2 linked regions of the Lonchura striata genome follow. The protein of the gene in region 1 interacts with the protein of each later gene in a biochemical or structural test. Links are inferred from orthologs where the notes say so. Each region holds a gene or a part of one and is shown on either strand. Other genes may lie near its edges.

Evidence for each region. The genes of interacting proteins can lie anywhere in the genome.
Region 2: the proteins of GLG1 (region 1) and SELE form a complex in vitro, tested with the Homo sapiens proteins (2 studies listed by BioGRID and IntAct). The link is inferred for Lonchura striata from reciprocal best matches to the Homo sapiens genes GLG1 and SELE.

Annotation. Positions count from the first base shown.
Region 1 is NC_134615.1:15,915,930-15,926,199, forward strand, and holds the start of GLG1 (Golgi apparatus protein 1), read left to right. Parts: upstream 1-5,940; 5' UTR 5,941-5,949; coding exon 5,950-6,261; intron 6,262-10,270. UniProt on the Homo sapiens protein: Binds fibroblast growth factor and E-selectin (cell-adhesion lectin on endothelial cells mediating the binding of neutrophils).
Region 2 is NC_134611.1:1,047,794-1,057,774, forward strand, and holds the start of SELE (E-selectin), read left to right. Parts: upstream 1-5,283; coding exon 5,284-5,320; intron 5,321-5,749; coding exon 5,750-6,136; intron 6,137-6,469; coding exon 6,470-6,577; intron 6,578-6,696; coding exon 6,697-6,882; intron 6,883-7,496; coding exon 7,497-7,682; intron 7,683-7,787; coding exon 7,788-7,973; intron 7,974-8,521; coding exon 8,522-8,707; intron 8,708-8,812; coding exon 8,813-8,998; intron 8,999-9,388; coding exon 9,389-9,574; intron 9,575-9,981. UniProt on the Homo sapiens protein: Cell-surface glycoprotein having a role in immunoadhesion. Mediates in the adhesion of blood neutrophils in cytokine-activated endothelium through interaction with SELPLG/PSGL1. May have a role in capillary morphogenesis.

The DNA.
Region 1 (10,270 bases):
TGGGCATTTAAAAATATTTTTCTCCGGGCTATTGCAGGTTAGTACCTTTTTAAATTTTAGTTCCTGTGAAAGCAGGCCTGGGGGACAGTGCAGTGCTGGCCAGAGCTGGCTGCGGTGGCCGCTTGCTTGGCAACAATCCAGCCCCTGCTGCTCCCTGCAGAGGTTTGTTGGAGGTGGCTGGAGTTGGACAGCTGTGCTTTTGGAGAAGAGCTGTCCTCCACATCTCCCTCTAAAAGGGATAATCTAGTGTTAAACTGGTGATCCATAGGGCAAGGAAGTAGCCAGCTCCAAGGCTCCACATCAAAGAACTTTGCTGCCATAGCACCTACCCTGGTGCTTTAGCTTTTGAAGAGACTGGTGAGATTTTGACAAATAGTCAAAAATGTTACAGATGAGAAAAGGTCATCTGCAAAGCATGAGCCTAGAAACAAGCACAGCTTGGTGTGTGCATGTGTGCACCAGGCAGGACAGGCCAGTGCTTTTCTCTGCTCTGTCTGTACCGGCTGCTTCCTGGAGGGCAAAAAAGGAGCTACTTTGTGTTCCAAATCAAATTGGATTAAACTCAGACAATATAGCAAGTGAAACAAGCAGCTTAAACTGAACTTTGTTACACTGAGGTAGCCAGAGCATCCCAGTGGGAGTTCATTTAGTTCTTTTCTATTTGTGAGGAGACGTGACAAGATTTTCTTCTTATGTACATTTTCAGATTTTCTACCAAGGCAGTAAATTCCTTAAAAGACTCGCCTCTCTGCTGGTTTTGAAAGGGAGAATATACGGGGAAAAAACAGTTCAGCTGTCTTGCAGAGTCACCTGGAAAATTGAGCAGAGTGGGTCACAATGCCTCAGCAACAGGACTGCCCTCAGCTGAGCTGCTCTTGTGCCCTGTGAGCACTCAGGCATGTTGATGTCAGCAGCCTCCCTCACTTATGATAACGATATTTATCATTGTTTATTTGCTTTTATGATAAAGATATTTAGACATACTGCTGAGGAGGCAGAAATGCCTCCTGCTGACATTACTTCTCTTTACTGAAGGAGGTGGCTGTGCTCAGATGGCAGCCAGAGCTGTGGGTGCCCTGGTGTTACAGAGCGCTGCATTCTATGGGCCTGTGGGAAACTGTCCTGCGGTGCATCAGGCACAGTGGCACCAGCCAAGCGAGGGATGGGATTGTTCTGCTCTGCTGCAGCCTCAGCCTGAGTCCTGTGTGCAGCTTTGCTCACTGCAATATAAAAGAGCTATTAAGCTGTTAGAGAGTGTCCAAAGGAGGGTAAGGAACATGGTGAAGGGCCTTGAGGAAAAACCATATGAGGAGTGGTTGAGGTCACTTGGTCTGTTCAGCCTGGAGAAGACTGGGGGGAAAACCTCACTGCAGTTGCAACTTCCTCATCAGGGGAACAGAAGGGGCACTGATCTCTACTAACTGCGGTGATCAGTGACAGGACCCATGTGAATGGCCTGAAGTTCTTTTGGGAGAGGTTTAGATTGGATGTCAGGAAGATTCTTCACCCAGATAGTGATTGGGCACTGGAACAGGCTGCCCAAGAAAGTGGTTCCATCACCAACAGTGGCAGAGTTCAAGAAGCATTTGGCAATGGTCTCGGGCACATAGTGTGCTCTAGGGGATGGTCCTGTGTAGGCCTCAGACTTGAACTTGATGATTCTTGTGGGTCACTTCCAACTCAGCATATTCTGTGAAAATAGTGCCTCTAAGTGCAAAAGAAAAAGGAATTTGGGAACCTATGTCCTAGAAGGCTTATCCTTGAGACAAACTTTACAGGTAACACGCTCTCTCCAGCATGTGCTGGTCAAGAGTAAAGAAATGTCTCAAACTAATTTCAGTAATTATCCCACCCTGTGAAGCGTAATTAATTTGAGGGTCCAGGGGCTTTAGTTTTGCATCAAGTCCAATTTGGTACTTCTACTAGTGGTAGAGATCACAGAATAGGGAGTGAGTCCCTTTTGCTTCTGATGGTGTCAAGCTGGCAGCAGCACTGAGTGCCTGGGAAAGCATAAGTGGAATTGGGAAAGAACTGTGGCAGATTGGAGGAGGGCTGGAAAATTGCCCATATCTTTTTTTGCTAATGGTAGGTGCTAACTGCAAGACAGATCCACATCAGTATTGGGGGCAACAGTCTCTGCAGTTTTGGCCTGGGGCTTCTGATGGTTTGTGAGGCAAAGATGTGTCAAAAGCATCACTCTCTGGGGAAAAACAGGTCATATTAGGCCAAAACTTTGTGCCTGAGAGGCACAAAACTCCCCTTGCACTCAACACTCACAGGGTTGTAGCTGAAATATTGTCTCCTCTTTGTCCACAGCTTCCTTGGAAGGTGAGTATTTCCATAGTCTTCTGCTTATTTCCAAGTGTGGATGAGCAGCAGAACTGTAGGTCTCTGACCTACAAGAAAACCTGAAACAGTGAGGCTGAACCTGTGTATGTCACACAAATAAACAATGAAATACCAGACTAGGGTTGTTGCCTTAGCCAGTAATGAATAGTACTGAATGTCAGCTCACCTTGGCTCTCTGCAGCAGGATTTGTTGGTGGAGAGGATTGACCACTGGGAAAGGCAGTGCTGAAGTTTTAGGGATGCAGAGCTATGGAGGGAGGCAGCTGAGCCAGGCTGCACAAAAGGGAGAGGGCCTCAGGGCACTGTGTGGAGGCTAAGCTGGAATTCCAAACTGACATATAGGAGCAAGCAGTCTGTATCCAATTAAAAATTTGAGCAGCTCCTTTGCATGGACTGAGAAAGAACTTTTGTTGTCTCTGAAGTGGTGATCTGGAGAGCAAGGACACTGCTGGGAAGGAACAAGAGGTGTCCCAGCAGCTCAGCTCACTCTGGCCTTGCTGTGCAAAGCTGGGGGCCATATAAATGGGGTTTATTATTTAAGGTGATGAGACTGAAAAGTGCTGTCCACTCCAAAAGCAGGGGACTGCAAGCTCATAATGCAACACCCAGAGCATGAAAGCCTTGCTGCTAAAATGCTTAAAATGAGGCAAAAAGGGAATTTCTGCTAAAGGAGAGGGGCTGTAGTTGCAAGGAGCTGCTAGCTGGTTATCACACAGGCAGAGATGTTGCTGTCCCCAAAGAAAAACCTCCTCCTTGTTTAACTCACTGTGTGGACATGGTAAGCATAGGGCTCTCTTATGAAATGCCTGTTTAACAGTGATCAACACAGGATTAGTAAAATCTTAGTAAATCCTTAGTAAAATCTGAGGTTGGGAAAAGGTGTTCCCTGAGGAAAAAATTAGTCTCTGGAGGTCTCCGAAAGGTGGAAAGAAGTGAGCTGTAACCCAGCTCCACTGCTCTGTTCTGTCTTCATCCTGTGAGGGATGAAGGAGCAGAGCCAGCTCTTGCACTGGGCTAACTCTTCAAATAATTCTCACTAAACCAAATAGGCTGCCAAGCATGGGCTGGATTTTGCTGGCTTTTGTTTTCAAGTGTTCCCAGCTGCACAGCCCCTGGGTGCCAGCACAAAGCCACTTTCCCAAACGCTGTGTCCCAGTGTGACATTCAAACACAAGAAGCATGGAGACTTTGCTCCTCCCTCTCCTGCCCTTGCCTTCACCTGGATGACATGGCTGCAGTCAGTGGCCACACTGGGCTCAAGGTGCTGTGGTAGCTCCTGGATTGGGTGAGACAGTCAGAGGCATTCCCAAGAGAAAGGTTTCTTCCAGGCAGGATGAGGCAGCTTGGGGCAGGAAGGGAGCAACTCTACAGCTCTGCTTCACACCACCTCACTGAGCCAGGGCTGGAGCATCCTGGCATGCAGGCAAAAGCTTCTGACTTTGGCCTGATGCCAGCTTGTGCTGGGAAAACTGCTCCTGGAGTCGACAAGGAGGGGAATTGAGGGGGGATTCACCCTGTATCCCATATCCTTCTGCTGTTGGAAGCAAATCTGAGATTTGGGGGCAAACCCATCCTAGGAGGGTGCAGTGAGATCCTGGCAGGACATCTGAAAATTTGATTGCTGAGCTGGTGATGGACTTGTGTCCCACTGCTGACACTGCCCCAACACTTGGACAGGTATTTTTTGATGGTGAAATTGTGGGTCTGGCTGGCTGCTCGGGCAGAGTGGGCTGCAGCATTCCCAAAACACAGCTCTGAAGGGGCTGTGTGGCTGCAAATACTGCTTTTAGATGATCCATCACCAAATTCAGCATCCAATCTCCAGTTATTGCTCTAGGAAGAACCTGTGGATCCCATCTACAATGGGATCAGCCATTGTAGACCCTGTTTTGGAGACCTGATCACACCTACAGCCTATTTCCCTCCATTCCCATGGACAAAGCCCAGAGCCACTATGGAGTGTGACATGCCAAATCCCAGCCCCCAAAACAATGCCGGGCACTGACAGTGCAGGAGGTGCAGCCAACCCACCAACCTCAAAAACGAGCTGTCTCATGGCACCGCCAAAATGTTTTTTTCTGCCCTTGGTCAGCTCTCTGCTCCCTGCAGCTACCTCAGGGCTGGGCCAGGCTCTTGGATTTATCCCGTCCCCTCCAGCCAGCCCTACATCCTGCCCCAGGAGGGGCCAGGAGTGCACCCATATATAGGCAGAAGATCAATCCAGCTGATAATTTGGCACTCAGCATGGAGAAATGACAGCAGGAAAGTTGAATGTCAGCATTTATTAAAGATTTGGGGTGTTTTTAGCAGCCAGCCAATTTTTTGTCTTAGTTCTTACGTAGTTTCCCTCTGCACTTCCGTATTTTTTCTTCATTCTTTAGTATTTTTTCTTTGGCTTCCTCTTTTTCTTTGTTCTTCTCCATTTCTTCTCGGATTGCCTCTATTTTGTCTCTGATGCTCTGTAATTTTTTGTCGAGATCGTGTACTTTTTCTTTGTCATTACGTGTTTTTATTTCATTCTCTATTTTTACTTCATTCTTCAGTATTTTTTCTGCATGCTTTTTTAATCTGTTTTGCTGTATTTTTTCTTTGTTCTTATGTATTTTATCTTTGAGATCCTGTATTTTTTCTTTGTTTGTCCACATTTTTGTTACATACCCTTTTTGTACTTCATTGTTCTTTTTTTCCTCTTCGATATCCTCTAATCGTTCTGTCTTCATCTGTATTTTCATTTCGTTCTTCCGTATATTTTCCTTGATCCTCTCTATTTTTACTTTGTACTCCTGTATTTTTATTTCATTCTTCTGTATTTTTTCTTTGATCTCTTGCATTTCTTCTTCAGTGTTCTTAATTTTTGCTTTGATCGCCTGCATTTTCTCTTCATTCTTCTGTAATTCTTGTTTGTATTTCTGTATTTGTTCATCCTTGTCCAGACTTGGCTCATCAACCAGCTCCCTAGAACTGTCATCAGACACTTTCGCAAAGGTCAGTTTCCCCATTACGTCTCCCGCCTCCTCAGTCGCTGGGCAGCCGAAGCGCGAGTGGGAAATGAGATTTCGGGCAAAATCTGCAGCTACTGGACACCTGCTGAGGGAGGCGCTGGCCCGGCTGCCGCCTTCCCGGGGGGCTGAGCACGCCCGGGCTCGGCTCCTGGCGCCCCGGCACCGCCGCTGGCTCGGCCGTGTCGCCCCGCGTGGCTGTGGGGTGGCGGAGGCCGCTGAGGCGATCCGGGAGCCGTTGCGGGGCTGCGGGAACCGTTGAGGGGGCTGCGGGGCGGCTGAAGGGCTGCGGGGCAGCTGAGGGGTGGTGGGGTCCCCTGAAAGGCTGCGGGGCCGCTGAGGACGTGCTGGAGCCCTGAGGGGCGGCGAGGGCCGTCGGGCCCGGGGAGCCGCGGGGACCCCGGGGTGGCGCCTCGTCCTCCTGAGGCGACAACGGCCGAGGCGGCGCCGCCGCGCGTGCTGCGGGAGGGGCCACAACCGACCACGCCCCCTAGCGGGAAAGGGGCGCGTCCCGCTGGGGCGACGTCACGGGCGCGCTAATTTGCATACGCCGTGCGTGCCGCGGGGTGGGCGGGCGGACGCCGGAGGTGGCGGATCCAAGATGGCGCCGTGCGGACGTGTCCGGAGCCGCTGCCCGGGCCCGGCGCTGCTCCTGCTGCTGGCGCTGGCGGCGCGGCCGGCGGCGCCCAGCGCTCCTGCCGCTCTTTCCGGCCCCGGCGGTGCTCCGCCCGCAGCGGGGCAGCCGGTGGGGCCGGGCGCGGCTGCCCCGCGAAGTGCCCGCGGCGGCGGGTCGGGCAGCGGGTGGAAGCTGTCGGAGGAGGCGGTGTGCCGGGAGGACGTGGTGCGGCTCTGCTCCAAGCACAGCTGGGCCAACAACCTCGCCGTGCTCGAGTGCCTGCAGGATGTCCGCGAGGTGAGGGTCGGGCCCGGGGCCGGGCCGGGCCTGCCCGCGGCGGCGAACAAAGAGCCGGGTCCGCGCCCCGCCGCGCCGCCGCCCCGCGTATCCCTCATGGCTTGTGTTTTAAAAATCGGAGTTTGCGCTGCGGAGCTCCGTGAGGGGGAGCGAGCTGCCTGCGGGGTGGCCGTAAGGGCTCCGGCGAGCAGCTCCTCTTCATCCGCACCTCGGGGCTCGGCGCTGCCGCCCGCGCAGCGCCCTGCGGGCAGGGAGAGCTCTCGGGGATGGCTTTGTGCTCCGGCTCCGGTGCTTGCGGGGTTCTTCTTTTCTGGAGGTCTGGGAGAGCCCAGCCTGCCTAGTGCTGAGTGAAGGCGCCGTGCTCATAGCAGCAGTGACCTGAGATGTTTTTTTCACGTTCAGGCTCCCACCTTCGCCACGAACTCGGCTGCAGAGGCGGCTGCTTTCCAGTCCTCGGTTGTGCATGTATGAAACTCGATATATAATCGTTGGATTTAGCTGACTTTATGGGGAGGTTAACAGGACAGTCTGTGTTGTTCCCATACACCTGTCGTGAGCAGTTTTAACTCCAGTTCAAGAAAAAACTGAGTTGCCTCCTCCGAGTCTTCCAGCTCCATCTTTTCATTCATTCCTGGGCTCGTTTTGAAGCAGCCTTTGGGGACGTGCCTTTAGTGAGCTGTCCTGCCTAGTCTCGAGGTCTATATATTCTTGGCTTCTCTGCTGTAGAGTCCGGGAATGCCAGACTGGGTCAATTTTATTGGTGTTTTGCCCAATAGGGAATGCGATTAGGAAAAACCTGGGCTTGTTTTTCATCCATTTTTATGGGGACAGCAGATGGCAGTGGCAATGGGTACTCTAATCAAAGGGAGTCTTGAACCAGTAAGTGTCAGTGATTACTTCTGGCTTAAAATGCAAAGCTAATTTAGATTTTAATCTAACTTCATGTTTTAATTTTGTGTGGGTAGTTAGTAAGACACTCGTGGTAGGTGTTTTAAATGAGTCTTGCTGCAAAATCTGTCACAGGTATGAAACATTCCACTATGTCCTTTATGAATAACTTGTCCCTTGCTGTTCCGTTCACCTGTCTGAGATCTTTTGGCCCCCTTTTTGGGAGGCATCCTGTCTGGGAGGATCTCGGAAGCTGACCTCACAGGCAGTGGCTCACAAGCTGCCAGCCTGCCAAAAAGGCAAGCTCTTGTTCCTTTCTTTCCAGTTGCATAGCCCCTCCCTACTCTTTTCACAGTTCCAGTGCTTGTTGGTTTTCTGCCATTTTAGCGAGGTGAACCCTTTTGTGGTCTAGTTTATTGGTTTTCTGCTGGAATAGTTTTGCCATTTTTCTGAGTTAAAGCACAGAGGGGGGCGAGTGCAGGGCTGGTACACAGGGCTGTGCAGGGAGAGGGATAAGATCAAATCAAAGGTGAAGGAATGTTTTGCATCACGCTTTATTTTCAGCAAGTACAAACCCTTATGTTAGCTCTGCATATCTCCTGAGAACTCCACTCTTTGAATGTTATGTCTGCTTGTGGTTTTCCCATTCCTAAGCCTACCTTGATGTCAGTAGTTTGCTGGCTCTTGATCTTGTCTAGCTGTAGTGTTGCCTGATGCTCATTGCTGAAGGTGAATTTTTTCCTGGGTGACATCCCAAGCATCGACAGAACATCTCAGGGCTCTTCTGGATTGAGTTTTGTTTCTCTGAAGGTGCCACTCTGGCCTTGCCCTTATTTGTCTGTCAGCTTGCAAAGAGCACTGTCAGCTGATCTTAACTCTCAACACTTTGCCCCCAGTAACACTGATGTGATGGGCTGCATCCTGACGTAAAAATGACTTCACAGGGTGCTGCTCCTAGAAATTAATTAAAATAGCTGACTTCTGTGTATCCCTACAGTTTAACACTTGATATTTAGACTGTGAATAAAGGTCTTGAGTTGTAAACATTGGGTAGCATTTCAGCTGCTTGGGAATGGGGTCAGATGTCGTCTCAGACATTTTCTTTGCATTGGAGATGACAGCAGAGGAAAGAAGTGACGTATTGTCTGTTATTGGTATAACTTCTACTTTTGACTCTAGAGCATCTGACCACTTGTTTGGACAATACCAGAAAAGTGACAATTACGTTTTAAAATGGGTGAGGATCTAGTCTGAGTCATACAGCCCACTTAAAACCAGTCAGGCTATAGTAAGTGGAGATTTGGGGGAGTTGTTTTGTGTGTGATGGTCTCAGTGTGGACAGTGTATGGACACTGCTGCAAGTAGCAGGTAAGATTTTTAGATGCAGTTAGGCTGCAGAAGTAGCCTTTTTTTCTCTAGGTGTTTAAGGTAATCTTACTTTTCTCATAAGAAATGTTTCTCTAAAGTGGAGAAAATTCTGTTTGAAACTGAGAGTGTTACTGTGAGGATTATCCATTGATTTTTCTTAGTGTGATACAAGTAGGCTAGGACACTTCTAAATATGAATAACCAGGAGAAACAACTACTTGAAACGTTCCTTTTGAGTCCATAAATTATAGAGAAAAGAGAAGGTGTGCTTGTTTCATTAGTCAGTGTGAATGCAATCACGTGGTTTCGGTATCTGCTGATTTCTGGGAGTGGATGTCTTTGAAGTACATCCTCCCTTGCTTTCATTGGGTAGTTCTGAATCTAAAGGAGCAGGAGCGTTGAGTCAGTGGTTGACTGGTACAGGAGCCAAACTTGTAAGGCAAATGTTGAAAGAAGCAATTTAACACAAATATTCAGTGAAAAACAGTCTGACACAAAAAAATTAGTAAAAAACCTCCAAACTCCACACCCAGAACTGCACAAATGAAAAACCCACCCAAACCAAACCCACAAATAAAAAATTTTAAAGTTTTGATTTTAAGAGGTTATTGGTAGGCTGTCAATTTAAAGTATTATTAAAAGAGTTATTTAAGCACACAAGAATTTTTAGAATTCTTGAAGAAAAAATAGTCAGATCCCCAGACTGGTAGCAAATACTTTTTACCACTGATTTTTCCACGGAGTCAATGACATGATTGCTTAATGTAGTGCAGAGTCCTCTTTCCTTTTGTAGTAGAAGGATGCTCCTTGATTGGAGAAGGAAGTGGTCATGGTCAGAGCTACTCATCTTAAACATTCTTTTACCATAATCAGAAGATAGAATAAACCCCATTTTTTTGGTGCATTTTGCAGATGACTTAACTTCTGTCTAGTTAGAAGTATTCATGCACTGGATATATTGCAGTTTTGAGTGACTTAAATTTTGTCATCAAAATTTTAATTATTATTCACATAATTCTATGTCACAATATAAAAAAGGGTTGAAAGGTGTAATGTATATGTATATTTTAAAAATTGTGTTCCAAAGTGCTTTTTTTCTGAAAGGATTCAGATTGCGAGCCTGTTTCTGGAAGGACTTTAGAGCTTGCATTTCACTGAACATAGGCTGCAGCCTTTAAGCCCTTTTTTTGTGGGTTGCCTGTTAAACTGATTTGCATAGTGGTTAAAATATAAATAAACCCATTAAACATTAATATATTTGCTAGGTAATGGTTTTTGCTTGATTAATGATAATTTGCATGTGAAGCATGACCAAGTTGTTGAATTTGAGGTGGGAAACATTAAAAGGGATGAAAATAATTTTATCCACTGTGGGTCTCTTATCTGGTTTACTGGTGGAGCATTTTACTTTCAGAACCTACATTACATGTGGTTAATTGGTGAGTGAATTTGATACCATAATTGTTGAGCATTGCCCTTATAAAGATTGTGCAATATTTATAGCATATTATTGTTCTGTATAATGTTAATGCATTAAAGGCTAAGTATTTTTTCCGAGATCAAACAGATGTGGTTAAGATGGGATTAGAGATCAAAGTTTTGGTCTCCTGCTACTTTCTTCATCCCGAGTGGTTCCATAAAGGTAACACCTTTATGGCAAAGACAGTGTAATTGAGCCTTAATGCTCTGCCTTCTGGAAAAAAATAGGACTCTCCTAGTGTTGCAGATTGGATTAAGAACAAAACAAGTTATC
Region 2 (9,981 bases), on another chromosome or scaffold:
TGCTCTGAATCACACCTGGCCAGTGCAAGTGACCCCCAGCCTCAGGTTAGATTCTCCAATGTGTATTTTTGCCTGTTTGGAGGAAATTGAGCACTATGAGTCACATCAGAATTCCCGAAATGAGAAGTGGAGATAAGATTTTCTGACTCCTGGGTTCCACTCCAGACAGAGTGGAGACTGCCTTAGGCAGCCTTGAGAAATTCCAGCGTCTTTGTAACTGTTGCAGTGCTTGCTTTATTCATACTTAATCAGACACAGAGGCTGAGGGATGAGTACGGTTTTCAGAAATTATCTTTTCTTCCCATCTGGACCTCAGGGAAAACTTGTGCCTTAAACCCTTTGTCTCTTAATTACTAAAGAATTAAGTGTTGCAAGCTCCTCTCCTAACAGGAAACACCTTCCCTACTGGCACTAGAACTCCTTTTCCCCCTCCAGGCTGGCTAAATCTCTTACTTTTCCTCTCCTAGTATTACTGTGGGCGAAGCTGGAGGTTTTTCCACTGTTTCAAAATTTCAAGTGGTTCTATGACTCTTTGCCATGGGATAAATATCCATTATACAAAGCACTTTGAGATAAATACTTATCAAGTGTTTTAATTTAGGAATGACAAAAATATCTTCTAGGAGAAGGAACTGGATTACTCAGAGGCTCTTAAAGCTCTGTTTTTGTCTGTTGATACATAAATGCAGATGCAATCTTGTAGATGAAGAACCAGTCTTTTAAAAAGACATGGGAAATTAATATCTGTCTTTTTCTACATGTACAAATGTACATCTATATACTCTGTTCACCTGGGATCTCACCACATTCTGTATTTGTCTTGGATTTGTGATTTCTTCAAGTTCAACAGAGTTTCAGATAAAGTATTGAGATACTGATAGAGATACTGAAAAAAAAGTTTCTCAAACCAAAACTTACAAATTTCCAACAGAGAGGCAGACTCTACAAAACCCCTGTCTTAGCAATTCGTGGCCTCTTTGGAAAACTTTCAATTAAAACTTTGTCGCTACAAATCAATCCACTGCTACTTGTTATGTACCAAGTAGAACTTTGTTGATCATGTGCCTCCTAAGTTCTCTAAAACACATTTTGGGTTTTAGAAGATTGTAAAGTTTTCTTTTCTCCAGCACCCTTTTCTTACAGTGGGGTGGGAATAAAACAGTTCTCTAGGACAGACAGGGTTCTTTGAAAATCTGCCTTTTGAGTAGTGATTCCATCCCTTGTGTGCTCATTTTATGGTGATTTCAGCTAAGCATTGTTTCACTTGTTTCCTCATAAGAATGTCTCATGGGATGGTATTAAAAATCTTAATTATAACGAACCACACTGCACTATTGTTTCTTTATTACTGACACAGCCTTGAGGCACAAGCCAGGTTGATCTGCCAGGAACAGATCAATCATATCAATGTCCGCTGTTCTCGACAGCTTAGCAGCCTTCTGCTGGTTTTTCAGTGGTTTTCTTTAACATTTTTCAATGTTCTAGTGTCTTTTCTAGGTGCTCACGTGGAAGGCTCAGCTTCTAATTACCTTGATCTTCTTTTCTGAGATACAGAGAGGCAACATTTGCTTTTTGTCCAACTTTTTACACCTTTTTGCTCATATTCTCAAAGTTAATTACTGAGGGTTTGGATCTTTTGACTGTTGCTTGATTGGTTGTAACCAACCTAAATGGTCTTCACTCCATAATGTGACCTGTTCTCTTTTCCCACACTATTGCCATGAATATTAACTTTCCTTTATATAAAAAGAAACAACATTTGACATGTCCTCTGTCAATTGCTGCCCTTTAAATGGCAGACCTGGCTGGATTTTTATTGTTTTTCTTCCTAATATGTTTATATAGCCCTTTCTTATCCTTTGTGTCTCATAGTGGCCTCTTAAGTGAACCTTCCAACTGGAAAATTAGTTGTGGCTACATAATTGTCAGTGCACCTCTGTTTGTAAGGGAAAAGAGGTGATGTGGGGATTTCCCTGTAAAAAGCTGGGCCTTCACTTGTGCAAATGAAATTCTGGAGTGTATAGGAACAAGAAGTGTTCAGCATTTCTAAAAACTTGTCTTTAGAGTCTCCTGTTTTCCTGGCAGAGAGGAATTGTATTAAATTTAAGAAACTATGTCTGTGCTCATGTAATATAAGAAGAGAGCAGCAACTTCATCCAGCTCTGTACCGCATAAGAAATGAGGATCTTACATTCCCAAATCAATTGGAAAAAGAATAAAAAAGCATGAATGTGAAATAGCTTTGAGACGAGAATAAATAAGTAACACAGAAAGCAGTTAAGCTCATGCTGCATGGCATTTTAGCTTGATTATCTCCAGTTCCACCTAAGTAACTGTATCACAGGTACTTTTCCTGAAATATATATGTAGTTTAGCATCCAAGATGAGCTTTAGCTCATAGGAATCCCAGTCCCCCTGAAGTTTTTAAGTGCCTTTGACTTTTAATAAAGAGGATTTAACCTTTATTGTGGAGTTTTGAGAATGATTTTCAGGCTTTCTTTTTTCCTGAAAATTTTGCCTCCATCTTCCAGTACATTACAGGGAAATAAGAATATAATCAGTGAATAGCAGAATTCCCTGGGAAAAACCAAAAAGAGCCCCATGGCAATTATGCACAAGGGAATACAGCCAACAAAAAGAAACAGTCTTTTTTTAGGCTGGAATTTTTACAAGCATATTGCTTGTAGGCTTTGGTGTGTTGTTATTTTTTGTGGGGCTTGCTTTATCTGCTGGAGACAAGAGGTCTCAGACAGCTCCTGAAAAGGAAGACTACTGTAAACTGTGAAATAAGCTCTTCCTTCCTCCGGAGATTCCATTGGCAAATGAATTCTGATGAAGTCTCCTCAGAGCTTTTTTCAGAGCTTCTGCCATGACAAGGATGAGTGCTTACCAGTAGGAAGTTCATTAAATGACTTTCAAAAGGGAATCTTCAGGAAAAGGTGTAGCATTTTCTGCCTCTTGGCACCTGGGAGCATAAAAACTGTCCTAAAATTTTCTGTAAATTTTCTGTGCATAGAGTTATAACAGCTGATCAATATTTTAGAAAACCAAACCAAACCAAACCAAAACACACAAAACAAAACAACACAAAAAAAAAAACCAAACAACAACAAAAAAAAAAAAAAAACCAAAAACAAAAACAAAAAAAAAAACCAAAAAAACCCCACAACACTACAAAAACCCCTGCCTTATTGAGACTGATTAACATTAGTTTGTAGTAGAATAATGTTGAAATTAGGCTCTGCTGCATCATGTGCTGGACAGGTGCATTAAAATACAAGTTTCTGTCTGTGTCCTTCAGGTGGTAAAGCCCCCTACCAGAGAAGGGCTGGCAAACAGGAAGAGTTTTCATTCCCAGTTTGAGGCTAAATAAACAGCAGCCCTGATCTGATGCCTCAGGATGTCTGGTGCTTCTAAGCAAGGCTTGCCCAGGCCAGCCAAAAGCTAACTTCAGCTTTCCAGAGTTTCATGATTTGTGTTTCTAGCTTTGCTAGTTCACACATGCTAGAAACTGTTCCTCTGCCTACAAATACTCAGTGTGTGTTTTTAATCCTCACTCTCTTCAGTAGCTGACTTGCTTTCTTAGACTTTGTTGCAATTTCTAGTCAGCTCTCCTGATTTGTTAGCAACTGAGGCTGTTTTAGAATATACTCTTTATTCCATGCTCTTTTCTGAAATAATTTCTTTGATGGGCAGAGATCTTTGGCTACTTGACAGTTCTTTCTTTTTTGGGCAGTAAAATTGGGCAATACCAGTTGATGTTAGCTTGGAATACAGAAGCCAATGATTTTTATTCTGTAAGAACAGGCTGAGGCTCCAAAATCAGAGCTCCAACATGCACTGTATAAACTCAAACTATGCTTTACAGATGTGAAGTGCTGCCAGTACTTGTTGAGTTCTTTGCATATTCAGCCTCATAAAATCCCATCCATAATGGTGAAGTTTTATGCAGCAGTATAATTAATCAGGGTATACACAATAAATGTGAATTAATTCCTAGTGTATTGTCTTGTCCACTTGAAATATTATATGCACCTGTTCAGGTGCTGTAACTCTATTGAGATCAGGACATTGAAGAATATGGTCCAAGGGACTCTTCAAAGCAAGGTCCACGTTTCAAGCTTGACTGCTACAAGTGACTGATGAACCTGTATTGTGAAGAACTCCAGCAACCTGACCACAAGTGAGAGCTCTGCACAGCTGAGATCCATAAGGAAGGGCTTGTCCTGTGCTGAAGTTTCCAATTTTGGTCCAACTTGGTCAACCAGCTTTGAGTGTTGGCGCCTTTCCTACCGAGATACCTGAAGAACTGATGCCTCCTTACTGCAAAACATTATGCCAGGTGAAATATTGGAATCTGCTTATTCATGCATTTAATTCAATCTAATTGTCTTCCTCCTCCTTGATATCCTGGAATTGCGGGTTTCTGTCAGTAAAAGTGTGTAATGTGGCACTTGGCACTCTGTCAGCACAGTGTGTCTTTCTGGGAGGGTTGATCTGGCAAGAGGAAACATCCGTCCTGACGTGTGGGAGGGCTGGATCCTGGGATTTTCCAAGAAATTTTTTTCCACACGGAATTTCCCGTCTCGTGGAGGGCAGGCTAGTTGAGGGGATAAAAGGCAGGGCATTACAGAGTCCAGACACTTGGAGCTGAACTTGATTTTCAAGGCTGAGTTCATCCACTTAGCCACAGTCTCTGGGAAGCAGCGCAGAGGAATTCTGTCACCTGGACACTGCAGCTACAAAAGGTGAGTAGAAATGAACTCTGCTATTCTGTTTCACTGCCCAGCTAAAGGAGAACTGGAAATCTGTGTTCATCTTCCATAAAAGCTGCTTACATTTTAAAGTATCTTGATATTAAAAACTGTTTTTAAATGAATAATTTGTGGAAATCCTACTTGTTTAAAAGTACATACCATAAACTTCTTTCCTCAGGTGTAAGCTCAGGAAAAATCTGCTCTTCAGAGTTAATTTTGCTTATTGAAAAATCTGGGGGAGCCCATGTTCCTAAAACTCCTCCAGATGATTCCTCCTTGCACAGTGCATTTCCCTAAGGCAGAATCACTTTCCAGAGCTTCATGGAAGTAGAATACCTGCTGTTTGCAAACATCTTCATTTCCACTGCGCATGCAGGAACATGAATAAAGTGCTTTTAAAGTCTCCATCACTGCATGGTCAGTACTTTATATGGAATTTTGACAGTTCACTATTTGTTTTTTACAAATGTGTTTCTTTGATTTCTCATAGCCATCTGCTTAAAAGACAGAGAAAACTCTCAGAAACATGATTTGCTTGAAGTTCCTATCTCTTCTTACCTATGGTAAGTGTGTATTTCTCTGTATGAAAAACTAGTGGGATGGCAATATTAGTGTGACTGTTTTGTTTGAGCTCAGCATCAAAGAGAATTTTGGAACCTGCCGTAATTAACCTGAGGCTATGTTCACACAGAAGAACCTCTGGATGCAGTGGCACGTTTTCCCTGCTTGCCTGTCAAAGCCATAATTGGCTCCTATAAGTCTCAAAGCTTTGTGTGATCAGACATAGTTTCACAGGCTGAAGTCCTGTACTTGAAGCTGACTTGCCTGGTTTGAAGCTTGCCAGGTGATTGTTTATAAAATAATTACCAGTAGTTTTTATGCATTTTCAGATACTGACAAGTTTGCAGTATTTATAGAGCTTAAATGTCCTCTTCTAGAGAGAGATGAGGGGAGAAGTCAGACACCAACTTTTGGATATTTTCTTATTCTAGGACTTACAGTGCTGCAGGGCGTGAAAGGGTGGACATACCATTATTCAGACAAAAACATGACCTACAGGGAAGCAGAGCAGTGGTGCAGAAAGAAGTATACTAACCTGGTTGCAATCCAGAACAAGGAGGAAATCAAGCACCTCAATGCCTTCTTACCCTTCAATCCGGGTTACTATTGGATTGGAATCAGAAAAATTAATGGCGTATGGACCTGGACTGGAACTAACAAAGAACTGACAGAAGAAGCAAGAAACTGGGCTTCAGGGGAGCCAAATGGCAAAGGGAACAACGAGGACTGCGTTGAGATCTACATCAAAAGAGGGAAGGATGATGGCAAATGGAATGATGAGCAGTGTGAGAAAAAGAAGGTTGCCTTGTGCTACACAGGTACAGCATGACAAAAGTCACTCCAGCGTGACCCTGGGGATCTTAGGTGGTGGCTGGGATGAGTTTTTTAACTTCATCTAATATTTACCCCAGAACAAGTGGTCTTGGAGTTCCCAGCCAACAGAATCCTTTTACTGTGAGCTAGTCTGTAAAACATGTGCACTTCAGAAATTCTGTGAAATGACAGGAGAATCCTAAATACCAAACCCTCTGATTTTCTTTTGCTATACAAAGGGTCGTTTAGTGTCAGAAAGATAAAGTGCTAGCCAGGTTTTCTTAGTGGCTGTTGTTGCTTCTTTCATAATTTGCCTGTTTTGTTTTTTTTTTTTCCAGCTTCTTGCAACCCATCTCTCTGCAGTGGCCATGGAGAATGCATAGAGACTATCAACAACCACACCTGCCATTGCGACCCTGGCTTCTATGGGCCTGAATGCGAGTTTGGTAAGATTATGTCATCCTGCTTTTTGACCAACTCACGCTACCTAGTGTTCAATTTAGCTTCTTGGTTTACCTGCTCAGCTAAGGAGACTGACTGTGTACCTTCTTGTGCTTCTTTGAAGTTAAGAGTTGTGATCCACTAAAGAAACCTGATCATGGGAGCCTTGAGTGCCACCATCCACTGGGGGACTTCAGCTACAACTCGTCCTGCACAGTTCAGTGTGAGGAGGGCTATGAGCTGACTGCACTGGAATCTGTCCACTGTACCTCTTCTGGGATCTGGTCTGCCCCCCTTGCAGCATGCAAAGGTGAGCTTTCTGCATTGCACATGGCCCTGTACACCTCAGTGCTGCTCTGGCAGCAGGAACAAATGGAAGTTTGGCCAATTCCTTTGTAACACATTATGTGGTGTAGGTGCTGTTTTATTTCAGCACACAGGTCTCTGTTTCTGAGGAGGTGAGATGAGTAGGATGAATGTTCTGGCATTGTTCTTGCAGGGAAAGATTTTTCCAACTCTTAGGTAGAAACAGGGAATTGAGATGACCTAGGTGTGAGACAGCTCTCAACAGGCCAGTTACTCCTGACTGTACGAATAATTTTCTGAGGTGTTTAGCTTAGAATGAGATACTTTTCTAAGCAAATGAAAGCATCAAAGGTCACCCGGCAACAGTCAAAATAGGGAAATTTTGGATTGTAAGTAGTTGCTGTCATGAGCTGCAGATGAATTAACCATCATGTCTGAAGAGACAGTTTCCCTTTAAAAATGTTTCCCCTTCTATCTGATTTCTGAGATGGTGGCATAGTAGAACCCTTTCTACAGCTGCTCCTGTTTACTGGATGTGTTCCTAAGTTTCAGAAAAATAAAAATACTTTTAATGGTTTGTTGCAAGCTAAGCTCTGTGCTGTCCCTTGTGCCTTTCAGCTGTGACCTGTCCTGCCTTGGAAATGCCCATCCACGGGGCTGTGAACTGCTCCCATCCCTCCGTGCAGCTCACCTGGGGAGCCACCTGTGAGTTCACCTGTGAGGAAGGATTTACCCTGACAGGACCAGCCACACTGCAATGTGGCTCCTCAGGGGCCTGGGACAGGCAGCAGCCAACGTGTGCAGGTAATTCCCTTATCCCTGCTCACCTGAGCCCTCAGGGCTGCCAGCAGTGCCTGGTGCTGTCCCAAAGCCCCTGTGCTGATCGCTGTCGTGCTCCTTGTGCTGCAGCTGTGAGGTGTGAGGCTGTCCCGCGGCCAGCAGAAGGCTCTGTGAGCTGTGACCACGCTCCTGCAGAGCTCACCTCTGGCTCACGCTGTGATTTCCAGTGCGATGAGGGATATGTCCTGGAGGGCTCGCCCAGCACTGAGTGCACGGCACAGGGACAGTGGTCCGAGCCAGTGCCCAAATGCAAAGGTAAGACTTGCAGGGCTGGAAACCATCGATTAAAGCTGGAAGAATCTGAACAGACTTTCTCAATCAAATGTAATCAGAGTAGCATTCATCCCCACCACATTGGTAGCGCTTTTCATAAGCAGATCTTAAGGTGGGGGTCATTTAGCCTTGTGTAGTAGTGAGGAAACAGCAGTGCAGGATGATAACACTCTGGGGCAGTGCCTCTATCACACACAGTAGCACACTTTGACACTGGAGTGCTCTGGCAGGGATTCTTTATACCCTAAACCCCAAATGGGAGCAAGTGTCAGTTTATGCAGTCCAGGGTGGAAATTAATGTGTAGCCATTCCCAGGATGACTTGTATGCTTTGGTTGCATATTTAGGGGTTCTGGCTGCACTGTGCAACCTGCTGAAATCACTGTTTCTGCACTGCTAGGTCTGAAGGGAGGTATGATGGCTCTGTCAGGGACAGCTCCAGGCAGGGCATGTCTCCTTGCCAGCTCCTAGAAGAGTGTTTATCCTGACCTACTCCAAGCTAAGCTCTGTGCTGTCCCTTGTGCCTTTCAGCTGTGACCTGTCCTGCCTTGGAAATGCCCATCCACGGGGCTGTGAACTGCTCCCATCCCTCCGTGCAGCTCACCTGGGGAACCACCTGTGAGTTCACCTGTGAGGAAGGATTTACCCTGACAGGACCAGCCACACTGCAATGTGGCTCCTCAGGGGCCTGGGACAGGCAGCAGCCAACGTGTGCAGGTAATTCCCTTATCCCTGCTCACCTGAGCCCTCAGGGCTGCCAGCAGTGCCTGGTGCTGTCCCGAAGCCCCTGTGCTGATCGCTGTCGTGCTCCTTGTGCTGCAGCTGTGAGGTGTGAGGCTGTCCCGCGGCCAGCAGAAGGCTCTGTGAGCTGTGACCACGCTCCCGCAGAGCTCACCTCTGGCTCACGCTGTGATTTCCAGTGCGATGAGGGATATGTCCTGGAGGGCTCGCCCAGCACTGAGTGCACGGCACAGGGACAGTGGTCCGAGCCAGTGCCCAAATGCAAAGGTAAGACTGTTGGAAATTGCAGTTTTCTGGTCACTGGAGAACACACAGAAATCCATATTTCTACAGGGCCCTGGCTCCAAACTAAATGCTGTGCTCCCATGTTTTCTACTGTGCCTCGGAATGCCTGCACATGACTCTGAGCAGCTCCCATCCCAAAGTCCAATGAATTTGAAAATAAATTGTACATCTACTAGTGCAAAAAATTGGGCCAAAGACAGGAAAGTCCTTAGTTGTTCCAATTGTGTTCTTTTGCCAAAAATTTATATGGATGCAAAATGTGGAAAAATATAGAGAAATTTCACTATTTGTTTGCTTGGAACTTCTTGCTTTTTTTTTCTTGCATTCTTCGCTGCTCTACAGCAGGAATGACCATATCTTTTTGTGTTTCAGTCATACAGTGTGAACCACTGAGCTCTCCTGAGAAAGGCTCCATGGATTGCTCCCACAGGGCTGGGATGTTCACCTACAACACCTCCTGCCACTTCAGCTGCCTTGAAGGATGGAGTCTCAATGGCTCTCGTGTTCTCGAGTGCAGCCATTCAGGAAACTGGAGTGCCAGCCTGCCCACATGTGAAGGTATTTTGCCTGTAAGCAGCCACAGAGAGGTGGCCCTGTACTTTTAGTCAGATGAGGTGTGGAAGTAGTGGTGGTAATAGCAACCAGTGAGCTAGAACATGTAGTAAAGTCCATATATTCAAAAGCCCAACGAAATCACTCATTATGCTTGAAAATAGAGGAGGAAAATCCTAAAATATCTTTGTGGGAAATGCTGATTTCTTTTATATATATGAAAACCCTGCAACCAGATTTCAGTTCTTTCTGTTTGGTTTTTAAACAAAATATTTCTCACAATGAGCTTGTGAATAGAGACAAAAAACCTTTCTCAAGCAACAGAGCCTTGCAGGGAAATCTGCACTCATAAGACTGTTTCTCAGTGGAAAATTTTATAGTTTTTTTGATTTGGTGTGATAGTTACTTGGATG